Linked DNA regions of Xenopus tropicalis. The protein of the gene in region 1 purifies or fractionates together with the protein of each later gene. This does not show direct contact. Links are inferred from orthologs where the notes say so. Each region holds a gene or a part of one and is shown in the gene's direction. Other genes may lie near its edges.

Region 1 (4,216 bases):
CTTTACAGGGCTGCATTTGTTAAAATATGAGCTTGTTTGTTTCTCATTATTTTTAGAAGGACTAGTCTTAGAGACTGGATTTCTGATGTTTTCTAATGGTCGGGTGCTTTGACATTGTTCTGACTGCATGGAATCCTGTTCTTCAATCAGTATGACATCGTCAGCACATTGCTTTGCTTTTTGGCATGTTTCATCCAGGTGTTTGTTAAGGCCAAATCGTGGCACCATTTCAGCACAAAGAGGGCAAGAGAGCTTTGCAGGAGGTGCATTTTTAAATAGGGCAATAATTGATGGAGACACTGATGTTTTTCTTGGTGACTGAATGTTTTTTAAATTGACATTAGGTTTTTTTTTTGATATGGATAGACTTCTGCGGGATTTTTTCTTTTCAGGAGAATTCATTTCTGATGTACTGGGATATATACTTTGACTAAGCCTCTGAATGCATTGTTCATCTCCTGCAAACACAAGAAAGATTAAGTAGATAGAGGACTGCCAAAAGAATTATTTTTTGTCACAATTAAATTAAAAAAAAACAAACAAACAAACTTTCTATTATGTTTACACATTGAAAACCAGTATATTTTTTACTGGCCGGGTCATATGGTAGCAACCTTTGCCATACAATATGAATGATTATATTATGATCCCTTTCCAATAACGTGGTTATTATACAGTGTTAGCAGACTACAAGTGTTAATTCTGACTTTAGTATCAATAAACAGCCTTTGTGCAGTTTTTAAAACCTGGACCATTCCCAAGAAACAACCATTTCTATAGACATGTAAACCCCAGGACTATATCAAGAAATAAGATTGTAAGCTCTTTTGGGCAGGGCCCTCTTCACCTCTTGTATCGGTTACTGATTGCTTTATATGTTACTCTGCATGTCCAATGTATGTAACCCACTTATTGTACAGCGCTGCGGAATATGTTGGCGCTTTATAAATAAATGTTAATGTAATGTAATAAGAAGGTCTGGTGTAATTAACTCTCATAGATGGTAGTGACTGGCAGTAAAATGTAAAAGCGAAGTACCAAAAATACACACCAAGCAGCTGGTACTAAAACATAATTAATGACTCAATTTTGAAACAAGCAGCGTATACGTGAGTCTCAAATACCCCGCTTTTCTTACCTGTCACAATCCAAGGCATCCGCCATGTTAGCGAATCAGGATAGCTTTATTGGCACAGACAATACTGCCAAAAGTACTTGCATGAAAGACCTTTTTCGCAATTACATGTTACCATACGCCATAGTGTAAAGCAAGCACATATGCTAGACATATCCTACTCGGATATCAGTCAGTTTGTGTGTCTTACTGTACTTACGGAACCATAGCACTGTAGCAAACGTTTCCGGCCGGAGTGGTTTCGTAGGCGCACTTCCTCTTCTCTATGGAACATGTGAGTGAGCTGCGCTGATCGTGGCAAAGGATGATGGCAGATTCTGAAGAACCGAGGCATGGGCTGGAACAGTGCATGGAGGTTCTGGAATTAGTGAGTGCCCACCCGGAGCAGTTGCTGAGGTACAGAGAAAGAACCCTTATTGGCTGCTATATCCTCTTAGCCTATGATTATGCTGTTTATTTCCATCGTTTACTGCTATAACATTTGTGTGTGTGCTGGACTAAATCCTGGAGACTCACTGAGCTGCCTGTGCCAATCACTGAGAAAAACCATAATTACATAAAATAATTAAAAATAAACTGGCAAGGATACTGAAGATTTGTTTAATCTCTGTTCTTTAAAATGCAAAAAAAAAAAAACAATAGTACGTAAAATCTTCCATATCCACACCAGAACCACACATAATTAGACCTTTATTATACACCTTTATTTCATATCCTTAAAACGCTTTAACCATTTTTTTTGAAGAGTAGAAAAGTGCTGTTTTATGCATTATATATATATACACACTATAGTTATGGTGTCTGTGGTTGGAGCTTATGCATCTGAACCATTTATAACCACTGAGCGACTTTGCTTATTCTCTCAATAACAATCTTATAGTTTGAACAGCTTGACATGTCTCAACACATTGAAGGACTTAGGGCATTGGGTACCCAAGGCACACTTTTATAATAAATGAATTCAATTTGTTTTTTTACTTAATGTTTAATAGGACTATGCTGAGCACGAAATAGAGAAGTTATATGTGAAAGAGGTAGGGGGGTAACACTAAAATGTGTTTTAAAATAATTAAAATTTAATGTGCTGTTGTCCTGCACTAGTAAAATGCCTACTATATACTATTATATAAACAAAGCTGCTGTGTAGACATGGGGGGAAGCTATTTAAATTAAAATAAGGCTAAGAGCGCTGCCAAACTTGGAGATTAGTCGCCCCCACAATTAATCTCCTTTAGTGTGGGAATGTTTTCCCACCGGCAATAATGTCAATCACTGGTGGGAAAAAAAAAATGTGTTGCTTCGGCTTTCCAAAGTTGCCCATTTTCCTCTCGAAGCAAACTTGTGGGAGACTTCCGAAAGCCGAACGACTCATATGTTTTCCCAATGGCAATTTACATTATTGCCAGTTCAAAAGCATTTAGAAGAGATTTGTCACTGCCGTGGGCCAACTAATCTCCTCTTGTGTGAGGGTGCGTAATGGCACAGGTTTCATAGGAGATCAAAGATAAGCTCTGTAAAACACCATTGCATTCTACAGAACTATTTGTTACTTGGTATGCATTTTCTCCCTTTTCCCATCTTTGGTTGCACACTTAACACCAAGGCACGTATAGCTGTTGTGTCAGTATGTATGTATGTATGTATATCATTATTTATAAAGCGCTACTTATGTACGCAGAGCTGTACAGTAGAATACATTAATACAGTTTGTTTGTATGATACTGTCCAGTGCTACACTCTTGTTCTCTGCTCTATTGTGAGTGTGATATTTTTATCTATTCTAAACTCTGCTCTCTAGTAATGTGGGCAACTGTTAGATTTTATAAATATAGGTATGGGACCTATTATCCAGAATGGTAGGGACCTTGGGTTTTCTGGGGGTTGTTTCATCATTAACAAAACCAATAATATTTTTTTCTCCAATAAGGATTAATTATATCTTAGTTGGGATCAAGTACAAACTACTGTTTTATTATTACAGAAAAAAAGGAAATTCATTTTAAAAATTAGAATTATTTGCTTATAATGGAGTGTGATAACAGGTTTCCAGATAATGGATCCCATACTTCTACATTGTAATAAAGTACATATGATTTTTTTTTTTTTACTTATTTGCAGGAGTATTTTAAAATACATTTGTTTTTTTTTTTCAGTGTGCAGGATGAATTGGCAACAGAGTTCTCTTGTTTAACAAAAGCTCTTTATGATTTGCAAAAGTCACAGCTTGCACTAGAGGTGGGAAGCCCATTGGAAAAGCTGATTATAGAGAATTTTGATGAAGAGCAAATATGGCAGCAACTAGAACTGCAGAACAATGCTGTTCTTGGCTACTTCAAGAAAGCAGTTAGTAAGACACAAAAAGACAAGGATATTTATCTCATACAGTCAACTGAGGAAGAGCCATCAGAATTGGAATACGAAGATGAGGAAGGTGTGTCAGCAGAAGAGTCAGAGTTAATTAGTGAAAATGAAGATGAACAAAGAACTCAGAAGAAAAAAACTGCTGATACTAAAAGACCAAAGAGAACACCAGTGGAGGCATTCAGTGATGATGATGATTCAGATATGGACTTTGATATTGATAAACTGGAGAAGCAGAGTCAGCAGATACCAAATAAAAAACCAATGGCTAAACCTAGTGAAAAGTCAGTACTTGATGACAAGTTCTTTAAGTTGTCTGAAATGGAGGCCTATTTAGAAAAAGTCGAGAAAGAAGACAGTGAGGAGGATGACGATGATGATGTTGATTATTTTGAGGATATTGACTCTGAAGATGATGAGGAGGAGGAGGAAGAGGATGATATGGATGAAGATTTTAACATTACAAAAAGCAAAGAACAGGTAAATTGTGCACTAATAAAGCCCACTAATCAGAAAAGAGCAAATGCAGCCCTGCAAAGCATTTGGACATCCGTATAAACATATGAATGTCACCTCAAGGTGTGTGGGTTGAACATAAGCTCTTCAGGATGTTATGGTCTGCATTGAATAGGCAGGCATATATGGTTGGTAAAAAAAGAAAAACAGCTAAAGTAACAGGTTTGGCAAATGGGTAATTTTTAATGGTATGCATAATGTCCC
Region 2 (4,214 bases), on another chromosome or scaffold:
TTACCCGCTCTGTACCAGGGTGAGGGGCAGATACATAGGAGGGGCAGATACATAGGGGGGTACTTACCCGCTCTGTACCAGGGTGAGGGGCAGATACATAGGAGGGGCAGATACATAGGGGGCGTACTTACCCGCTCTGTACCAGGGTGAGGGGCAGATACATAGGGATATTAACATGCTCTGTACCAGGGTGAGGGGCAGATACATAGGGGGGGCAGATACATGGGGGGGTACTTACCCGCTCTGTACCAGGGTGAGGGGCAGATACATAGGAGGGGCAGATACATAGGGGGATACTTACCCGCTCTGTACCAGGGTGAGGGGCAGATACATAGGAGGGGCAGATACATAGGGGGGTACTTACCCGCTCTGTACCAGGGTGAGGGGCAGATACATAGGGGGTATTAACATGCTCTGTACCAGGGTGAGGGGCAGATACATAGGGGGGGGCAGATACATGGGGGGGTACTTACCCGCTCTGTACCAGGGTGAGGGGCAGATACATAGGAGGGGCAGATACATAGGGGGATACTTACCCGCTCTGTACCAGGGTGAGGGGCAGATACATAGGAGGGGCAGATACATAGGGGGGTACTTACCCGCTCTGTACCAGGGTGAGGGGCAGATACATAGGGGGTATTAACATGCTCTGTACCAGGGTGAGGGGCAGATACATAGGGGGGGCAGATACATAGGGGGGGCAGATACATGGGGGGGTACTTACCCGCTCTGTACCAGGGTGAGGGGCAGATACATAGGGGGTACTAACATGCTCTGTACCAGGGTGGGGGGCAGATGCATGGGGGGGCAGATGCATGGGGGGGCAGATGCATGGGGGGGCAGATGCATGGGGGTACTTACCGGCTCTGTACCAGGGTGAGGGGCGCCATGTCGGGTCGGTAGTGCAGGGAGCCCACACGCTTGTTCCCCATAGAGTATCGGGCCTGGGAGAGGCACAGCCAGCCCTGGGGGGTAGGAAAGGGTTACACGGGGAGCGCACTAGGGGAACATACACCCCCCCCCCCCCCCCCGGCAGGTAGGTATGAGCCAATCAGCCAGGGGCCCGGGGTGCATGCTGGGAGCTGTAGTACCTGCTCAATGTGTTGGTTGAGCGCTTCCCGCTTGTCCCGCAGACTCTCCAGCTCCTCCATCAGGCGCAGTGTTAGCGCATCCAGCCGCCCGCACAGCAGCGCCACCTCCGTGTCCGACCCCATCCCGACCCACTCACTCACTCACTCCCGGGCCCCTCTGTGCTTCCTACCCACTCACATGACTGCCCAACGCGGAAGCACAGAGCCGGGACATGTCACGGAAACCACTTCCTGTTCGTCACTGGCGGCCATCTTTCTTTGGGGCGCAGTGAGGTCACTTCCGGGGTTCTCTTCCGGTATTTCTCAGGGGCTACACGTGGGGTCGGAACAGCGCAACCATGGTGAGTGTTAGGGGCCCCCAATACCCCCCAATACCGTAATGTAATAGTTACCCATAATGCTGTGCTGTACTGGGGGTAATAGGGGTACAGGGAGTCCCATAGTTACCCATAATGCTGTGCTGTACTGGGGGTAATAGGGGTACAGGGAGCCCCATAGTTACCCATAATGCTGTGCTGTACTGGGGGTAATAGGGGTACAGGGAGCCCCATAGTTACCCATAATGCTGTGCTGTACTGGGGGTAATAGGGGTACAGGGAGTCCCATAGTTACCCATAATGCTGTGCTGTACTGGGGGTAATAGGGGTACAGGGAGTCCCATAGTTACCCATAATGCTGTGCTGTACTGGGGGTAATAGGGGTACGGGGGAGCCCCATAGTTACCCATAATGCTGTGCTGTACTGGGGGTAATAGGGGTACAGGGAGCCCCATAGTTACCCATAATGCTGTGCTGTACTGGGGGTAATAGGGGTACAGGGAGTCCCATAGTTACCCATAATGCTGTGCTGTACTGGGGGTAATAGGGGTACAGGGAGCCCCATAGTTACCCATAATGCTGTGCTGTACTGGGGTAATAGGGGTACAGGGAGCCCCATAGTTACCCATAATGCTGTGCTGTACTGGGGGTAATAGGGGTACAGGGAGTCCCATAGTTACCCATAATGCTGTGCTGTACTGGGGGTAATAGGGGTACAGGGAGCCCCATAGTTACCCATAATGCTGTGCTGTACTGGGGGTAATAGGGGTACGGGGAGTCCCATAGTTACCCATAATGCTGTGCTGTACTGGGGGTAATAGGGGTACAGGGAGCCCCATAGTTACCCATAATGCTGTGCTGTACTGGGGGTAATAGGGGTACAGGGGGCCCCATAGTTACCCATAATGCTGTGCTGTACTGGGGGTAATAGGGGTACGGGGAGCCCCATAGTTACCCATAATGCTGTGCTGTACTGGGGGTAATAGGGGTGCGGGGGAGCCCCATAGTTACCCATAATGCTGTGCTGTACTGGGGGTAATAGGGGTACGGGGAGCCCCATAGTTACCCATAATGCTGTGCTGTACTGGGGGTAATAGGGGTGCGGGGGGCCCCATAGTTACCCATAATGCTGTGCTGTACTGGGGGTAATAGGGGTACGGGGGGCCCCATAGTTACCCATAATGCTGTGCTGTACTGGGGGTAATAGGGGTGCGGGGGAGCCCCATAGTTACCCATAATGCTGTGCTGTACTGGGGGTAATAGGGGTACAGGGAGCCCCATAGTTACCCATAATGCTGTGCTGTACTGGGGTAATAGGGGTACAGGGAGCCCCATAGTTACCCATAATGCTGTGCTGTACTGGGGGTAATAGGGGTACAGGGAGCCCCATAGTTACCCATAATGCTGTGCTGTACTGGGGGTAATAGGGGTACAGGGAGCCCCATAGTTACCCATAATGCTGTGCTGTACTGGGGGTAATAGGGGTACGGGGGCCCCATAGTTACCCATAATGCTGTGCTGTACTGGGGGTAATAGGGGTACGGGGAGCCCCATAGTTACCCATAATGCTGTGCTGTACTGGGGGTAATAGGGGTGCGGGGGGCCCCATAGTTACCCATAATGCTGTGCTGTACTGGGGGTAATAGGGGTGCGGGGGAGTCCCATAGTTACCCATAATGCTGTGCTGTACTGGGGGTAATAGGGGTGCGGGGGAGTCCCATAGTTACCCATAATGCTGTGCTGTACTGGGGGTAATAGGGGTACGGGGAGCCCCATAGTTACCCATAATGCTGTGCTGTACTGGGGGTAATAGGGGTGCGGGGGAGCCCCATAGTTACCCATAATGCTGTGCTGTACTGGGGGTAATAGGGGTACGGGGGAGCCCCATAGTTACCCATAATGCTGTGCTGTACTGGGGGTAATAGGGGTACGGGGGAGTCCCATAGTTACCCATAATGCTGTGCTGTACTGGGGGTAATAGGGGTACGGGGGAGTCCCATAGTTACCCATAATGCTGTGCTGTACTGGGGGTAATAGGGGTACGGGGGAGCCCCATAGTTACCCATAATGCTGTGCTGTACTGGGGGTAATAGGGGTACGGGGGAGTCCCATAGTTACCCATAATGCTGTGCTGTACTGGGGGTAATAGGGGTACAGGGAGCCCCATAGTTACCCATAATGCTGTGCTGTACTGGGGGTAATAGGGGTACAGGGGGCCCCATAGTTACCCATAATGCTGTGCTGTACTGTGGGTAATAGGGGTACGGGGAGCCCCATAGTTACCCATAATGCTGTGCTGTACTGGGGGTAATAGGGGTGCGGGGGAGTCCCATAGTTACCCATAATGCTGTGCTGTACTGGGGGTAATAGGGGTGCGGTGGAGTCCCATAGTTACCCATAATGCTGTGCTGTACTGGGGGTAATAGGGGTACGGGGAGTCCCATAGTTACCCATAATGCTGTGCTGTACTGGGGGTAATAGGGGTGCGGGGGAGTCCCATAGTTACCCATAATGCTGTGCTGTACTGGGGGTAATAGGGGTACGGGGGAACCCCATAGTTACCCATAATGCTGTGCTGTACTGGGGATAATAGGGGTGCGGGGGAGTCCCATAGTTACCCATAATGCTGTGCTGTACTGGGGGTAATAGGGGTACAGGGAGCCCCATAGTTACCCATAATGCTGTGCTGTACTGGGGGTAATAGGGGTGCGGGGGAGTCCCATAGTTACCCATAATGCTGTGCTGTACTGGGGGTAATAGGGGTGCGGGGGAGTCCCATAGTTACCCATAATGCTGTGCTGTACTG
Region 3 (4,256 bases), on another chromosome or scaffold:
TCATTGGTCCCAATCAGGTGGTGTCCGTTAAAAAACTTAAAGTACAGTGATAACTCTCATCCAAAACAACTACAGTTGTTAAATATCCCTAATTTCCATAGACAGTACAGGTATGGGATCCCTTATCTGGAAACCCGTTATCCAGAAAGCTCCAAATTACGGAAAGTCCAACTCCCATAGACTCAATTTTAATCAAATAATTCAGAATTTTAAAACTGATTTCCTTTTTTTCTGTAATAATAAAACAGTACCTTGTACTTGATCCCAACTAAGATATAAATAATTCTTATTGGATGCAAAACAAGCCTATTGGGTTTAAAAAATGTTTTCTTGATTTTTTAGTAGACTTAACGAACTGCATACAAGTCCCTTCACCTGGTTTCTCATACCCCCTTCCTCTTTTAGATCATAAGCTCTATTGAGCAGGTATCTCTTTACTTCTCATATTGGTTATATATTTTTTGTTTTATGTAATCTATGGGGCACATTTACTTATCCACGAATGCTCTGAGCGTTCGTTCAATTGTATTTTCCGCAACTTTTTCGTACCTTGCGCGACTTTTTCGTACCTTGCGCGACTATTTTCTATATTTAGCGCGAAAAAATCAGATCAGTTTGCCCGCTGTTTACAATCGTTCGGTACGAAAATTTTGTGACTTTCAGATCGCCAATACGTTATTATCGTGACAAATACGATTTTTTCGTAAGCATTTTCGTGATATTTGCGATCTTCAGAAATTTGCGTTTCCAATCTGAATTTTTCCCATTCGGGATTCGAAACTCGTCTTTTGATAAATCTGCCCCTATATGTTAGATGTATGCACACCCTTCCACAGGGCCAAACTGGAATGTGCAGGGCCCACCAGGGCTGCCACTTCAGGGGCCCACCACTCCCTCTAGGGGCCCCTGCCATCCTCCCAAACCCCCCCCCCCACTATGCAGGTATACCTCATAGCAACCTTGCTGCAATAGGGGGTCTGGGTTAGCAGGGCTCACTGGGTTTTTTTCCAGTCTGATCCTGCCCTTCTATTATACAGCAATGCAGAATATGCTGGTGCTATATAAATAAGTATTAATAACAATAAAAGTGTTTCAGTATATTGCCACATATTTATTTATATGCTTGTAGGGCAGCAGCACTATGACCAGTCATTGTTAGTTCATAGTATCTGTTTACTGATAGTTTCACTCTATCATCTGTAGTCACTGAAAATGTGGCAATAAATGCAGTTATATAGTTAAAATCTGTAAAAAATTTAGCATGCACGTCTAGGTTTGTCATATACTGTTAGGTGCTCAAAACAGTACATATATTACAACAGTGTACTTGGAAATGATGTTGAAAGATATTAACCACCCCTTGTCATTAACAGCTGGGAAATAGTAACGGTATGAGATATGGTACAGCGTATACAGTAACTCCATCAAGCCTCAGCAATACGCATGCGCTCAGCTGTCCAAGGAGGCCCCGCCCTCTACCCGTGACCTCACAGAGCTTTCCGGTACCGATCCCTGCTTCTGCCTCACAGAGGGGAACAAGCGGTACCCCGGGCCCGCAGCATAAACGTATCTTTCCGCCCTGCTTCTCTCCTTCGCCTTTGTAACTCACGCGAAATGGTTCGCAAGTTAAAGTATCACGAGCAGAAGCTGCTGAAAAAGGTAGACTTTATTAACTGGGAGGTGGATAATAACATCCATGAAGTCAAAGTGCTGCGAAAATACCATTTGGATAAGCGAGAAGACTATACTAAGTAAGTGTCGCCTAACTATGTCAAAGCGAAATCATTACAGCTATGTTTCATTCCGATATGTTGTTTACAGAATGGCGATTAGAGTGTATAAATACCTCTCGTACACGTGTGAAACGGGCGCAGCCATGACACTTTCACCATGACAACAATATGGCCTACTTCCGGGAACGCAGAGGCTCTTGTTAACAGCTGAACTCAGTCTTGTTATGTTTATTAAACATGCTGACCGAAACACATGACAAATCAGAGACACTTTTTAAAATGTAATTAGCAAGGCTGGTCTAATGGCAATCAGTGTTTAAATACAAGAATAGATTGAAGATCCTTCAAGGATAGAAAATTGCTTTTTGTATTAGAAGGGTTCCTTATTTTTCTAATAGTAACATATTTATATAGTAATATCAGTGTGATGGTGCCTTAGATTGAAACACTGCTGATGAAATATATTGATGGGGTGATTAATTCTGTTGCTGTACAGTGGTATATTGCATTGCTTACAGAGGCTGAAAATGTTGACTTTCACTGAAATCTCAGTGGTCCCAGATGCATACTGTTGTGTGACATGTGTTTACATTACTTAATATCTTATATCAGGGGTCCCCAACATTGTTACCTGTGAGCCACATTCAGGTGTAAAAAGTGAAACCCAAGCATGACAAATTTACCTGGGCATACCAAATAAGGGCTGTGATTGGTTATTTGGTTGCTCCTATGTGAACTGGCAGCCTACAGGTGGATTTTATGGAGACCAAAACTTACTCCAAGCCTTGAGTTAAAAAAAATAAGAACCTCCTTTAAGGCCCTGGGAGCTTCTTCAATCAAGGGTTGGTGAGCAACATGTTGTTCTTGAGCTACTGGTTGGGGACCACTGCCTTATATGATGCATGATCCCTATTATTCATTTGCTTCCACAAGTAGGTTTGCCACTTGACCAGTAAAAATAATGCTTGATGCCAAAAGCCCAGTAAATGTCCTTTGTGTCATTAGGCTTTAGGGCTATAGCATGGGGCAAGTTGGTATTTAATACACACTGCCCAGCAGAATGGCACTTGCCATTCTTTCAACATATTGATATGCACACTTTTTTGACAGTTTGAGCAATGCTACGTGTATAGCTTGAGGTGAGGCATGTGAACACCTTCTGTTTTCAGAAGACATTTCTCCACATTTCTTTATTTAGAGGACCTTTTGGCCCTTCTAACCCTAACCTTGCTTTCCAAGTTTTATCCTATCAGAAACCATATTCCAGTATTTTGTGCTAATGAGATCTTAGATGATGGAAAATATCAAGAGCATGTAGTACTTTTCAGGCAAGAGACTAGAAGTGTTAACCTCATCCCTTAAATAGTGGGTTTATATGAAATGTACTTGCTGCAAGCTTGATTAGTAATCAAATAATGCATGAATGCTTAAAAGAGTGTTGTCTTCTGTATGCATTTCTATGCAATGTCACCATGTTTATTTATGAACAAGGTTTGCATCAAACTTTAACAAAGAAACATGCTCATAACTGTTCCTTTATATTTCCTTTATTGCAGTGCCTATTTTGTGTTGGCTATAGGGGTCTAATAGTTCACTTATTCTTGCTATTCATTTGTCCTGTAGGTACAACAAACTCAGTAGAAATATCCGAGAACTTGCCCAAAAAATTAGAGACCTGGATGAAAAAGATAAATTTCGTGTCCAAAGTACTGCAAAGCTCCTAGAGAAACTGTAAGTATGAAATGAAGTTTTATTAGCCCCAATGGATAGGCTGCAAATTTAAATATATCCTTTATATACATTTATAGGTATTTATTTTCCATTGTGTGGGTGCTGCCAGCACTCTACATCTTGTCGCGTCATTTTTATTAAATAGGTATATGAAGTATAGATTTTGAACCATACATATTTTGAATTTGCACTTGCATTTAGCTCTTGAACAACGGTTTGGAGTGTATTGACCACTTTTTTATGCAGGCCAAATGCCTACAGAATGATTTAGGCAGTCGGATGACCGTAAGCACCTATAAGGTATAATAAGCAGCCCCACCTCTGTTGCTCCTTGGGCAGTCAGATCTGTATTTGGCTTGCTGCTCTAGGTCAAAAATACAGCACTTTTTCAAAACGGGTAAGGAAAATGTGCAAGGGTGGGAAAGCCATCTTCAAATATTAAGTTTTAGTTCACCTTTATTCTTGGTGTGCCCCCCATAAACTTGTATTCTGTAGGAAGATAAGCCAAACTTCCACATGGTTTTACCTCTTATTTGATGTTCTCTCTTTTTGAAAAACATGTTGTAATTGGAATTGTTTATTCTTATTAAGGACAGACTTCACTCAAGGACAGGCAAGACATAATTAAACAAAAGATAATTAAATAATTAAGACATTTATTCGGATTGTGCATTGAACTTTTTTTTGGTTTGTGTGTTGCAATACTGGCCAACACAACTCTTTGGGAACACAACCTGATGGTAGGTATGGCTTGGGTGTAAGAGTTCCCTTATCTGGCATTTGTTAGAGGGT

The links. Proteins that work in one complex are often made in the same cells at the same time.
Region 2: the proteins of mphosph10 (region 1) and imp4 purify together in Homo sapiens (affinity purification with mass spectrometry; 3 studies listed by BioGRID and IntAct, with this or other methods). This does not show direct contact. The link is inferred for Xenopus tropicalis from reciprocal best matches to the Homo sapiens genes MPHOSPH10 and IMP4.
Region 3: the proteins of mphosph10 (region 1) and imp3 purify together in Homo sapiens (affinity purification with mass spectrometry; 4 studies listed by BioGRID and IntAct, with this or other methods). This does not show direct contact. The link is inferred for Xenopus tropicalis from reciprocal best matches to the Homo sapiens genes MPHOSPH10 and IMP3.

The regions. Positions count from the first base shown.
Region 1 is NC_030679.2:97,027,701-97,031,916, forward strand, and holds the start of mphosph10 (U3 small nucleolar ribonucleoprotein protein MPP10), read left to right. Parts: upstream 1-1,414; 5' UTR 1,415-1,439; coding exon 1,440-1,531; intron 1,532-3,288; coding exon 3,289-3,976; intron 3,977-4,216. Other genes in the region: fan1 (fanconi-associated nuclease 1), read right to left, coding at 1-458, 1,139-1,157. UniProt on the Homo sapiens protein: Component of the 60-80S U3 small nucleolar ribonucleoprotein (U3 snoRNP). Required for the early cleavages during pre-18S ribosomal RNA processing. Part of the small subunit (SSU) processome, first precursor of the small eukaryotic ribosomal subunit.
Region 2 is NC_030684.2:596,860-601,073, forward strand, and holds the start of imp4 (U3 small nucleolar ribonucleoprotein protein IMP4), read left to right. Parts: upstream 1-1,408; 5' UTR 1,409-1,429; coding exon 1,430-1,432; intron 1,433-4,214. Other genes in the region: ccdc115 (coiled-coil domain-containing protein 115), read right to left, coding at 862-965, 1,092-1,214. UniProt on the Homo sapiens protein: Component of the 60-80S U3 small nucleolar ribonucleoprotein (U3 snoRNP). Required for the early cleavages during pre-18S ribosomal RNA processing. Part of the small subunit (SSU) processome, first precursor of the small eukaryotic ribosomal subunit.
Region 3 is NC_030680.2:118,013,534-118,017,789, forward strand, and holds the start of imp3 (U3 small nucleolar ribonucleoprotein protein IMP3), read left to right. Parts: upstream 1-1,450; 5' UTR 1,451-1,614; coding exon 1,615-1,751; intron 1,752-3,356; coding exon 3,357-3,464; intron 3,465-4,256. UniProt on the Homo sapiens protein: Component of the 60-80S U3 small nucleolar ribonucleoprotein (U3 snoRNP). Required for the early cleavages during pre-18S ribosomal RNA processing. Part of the small subunit (SSU) processome, first precursor of the small eukaryotic ribosomal subunit.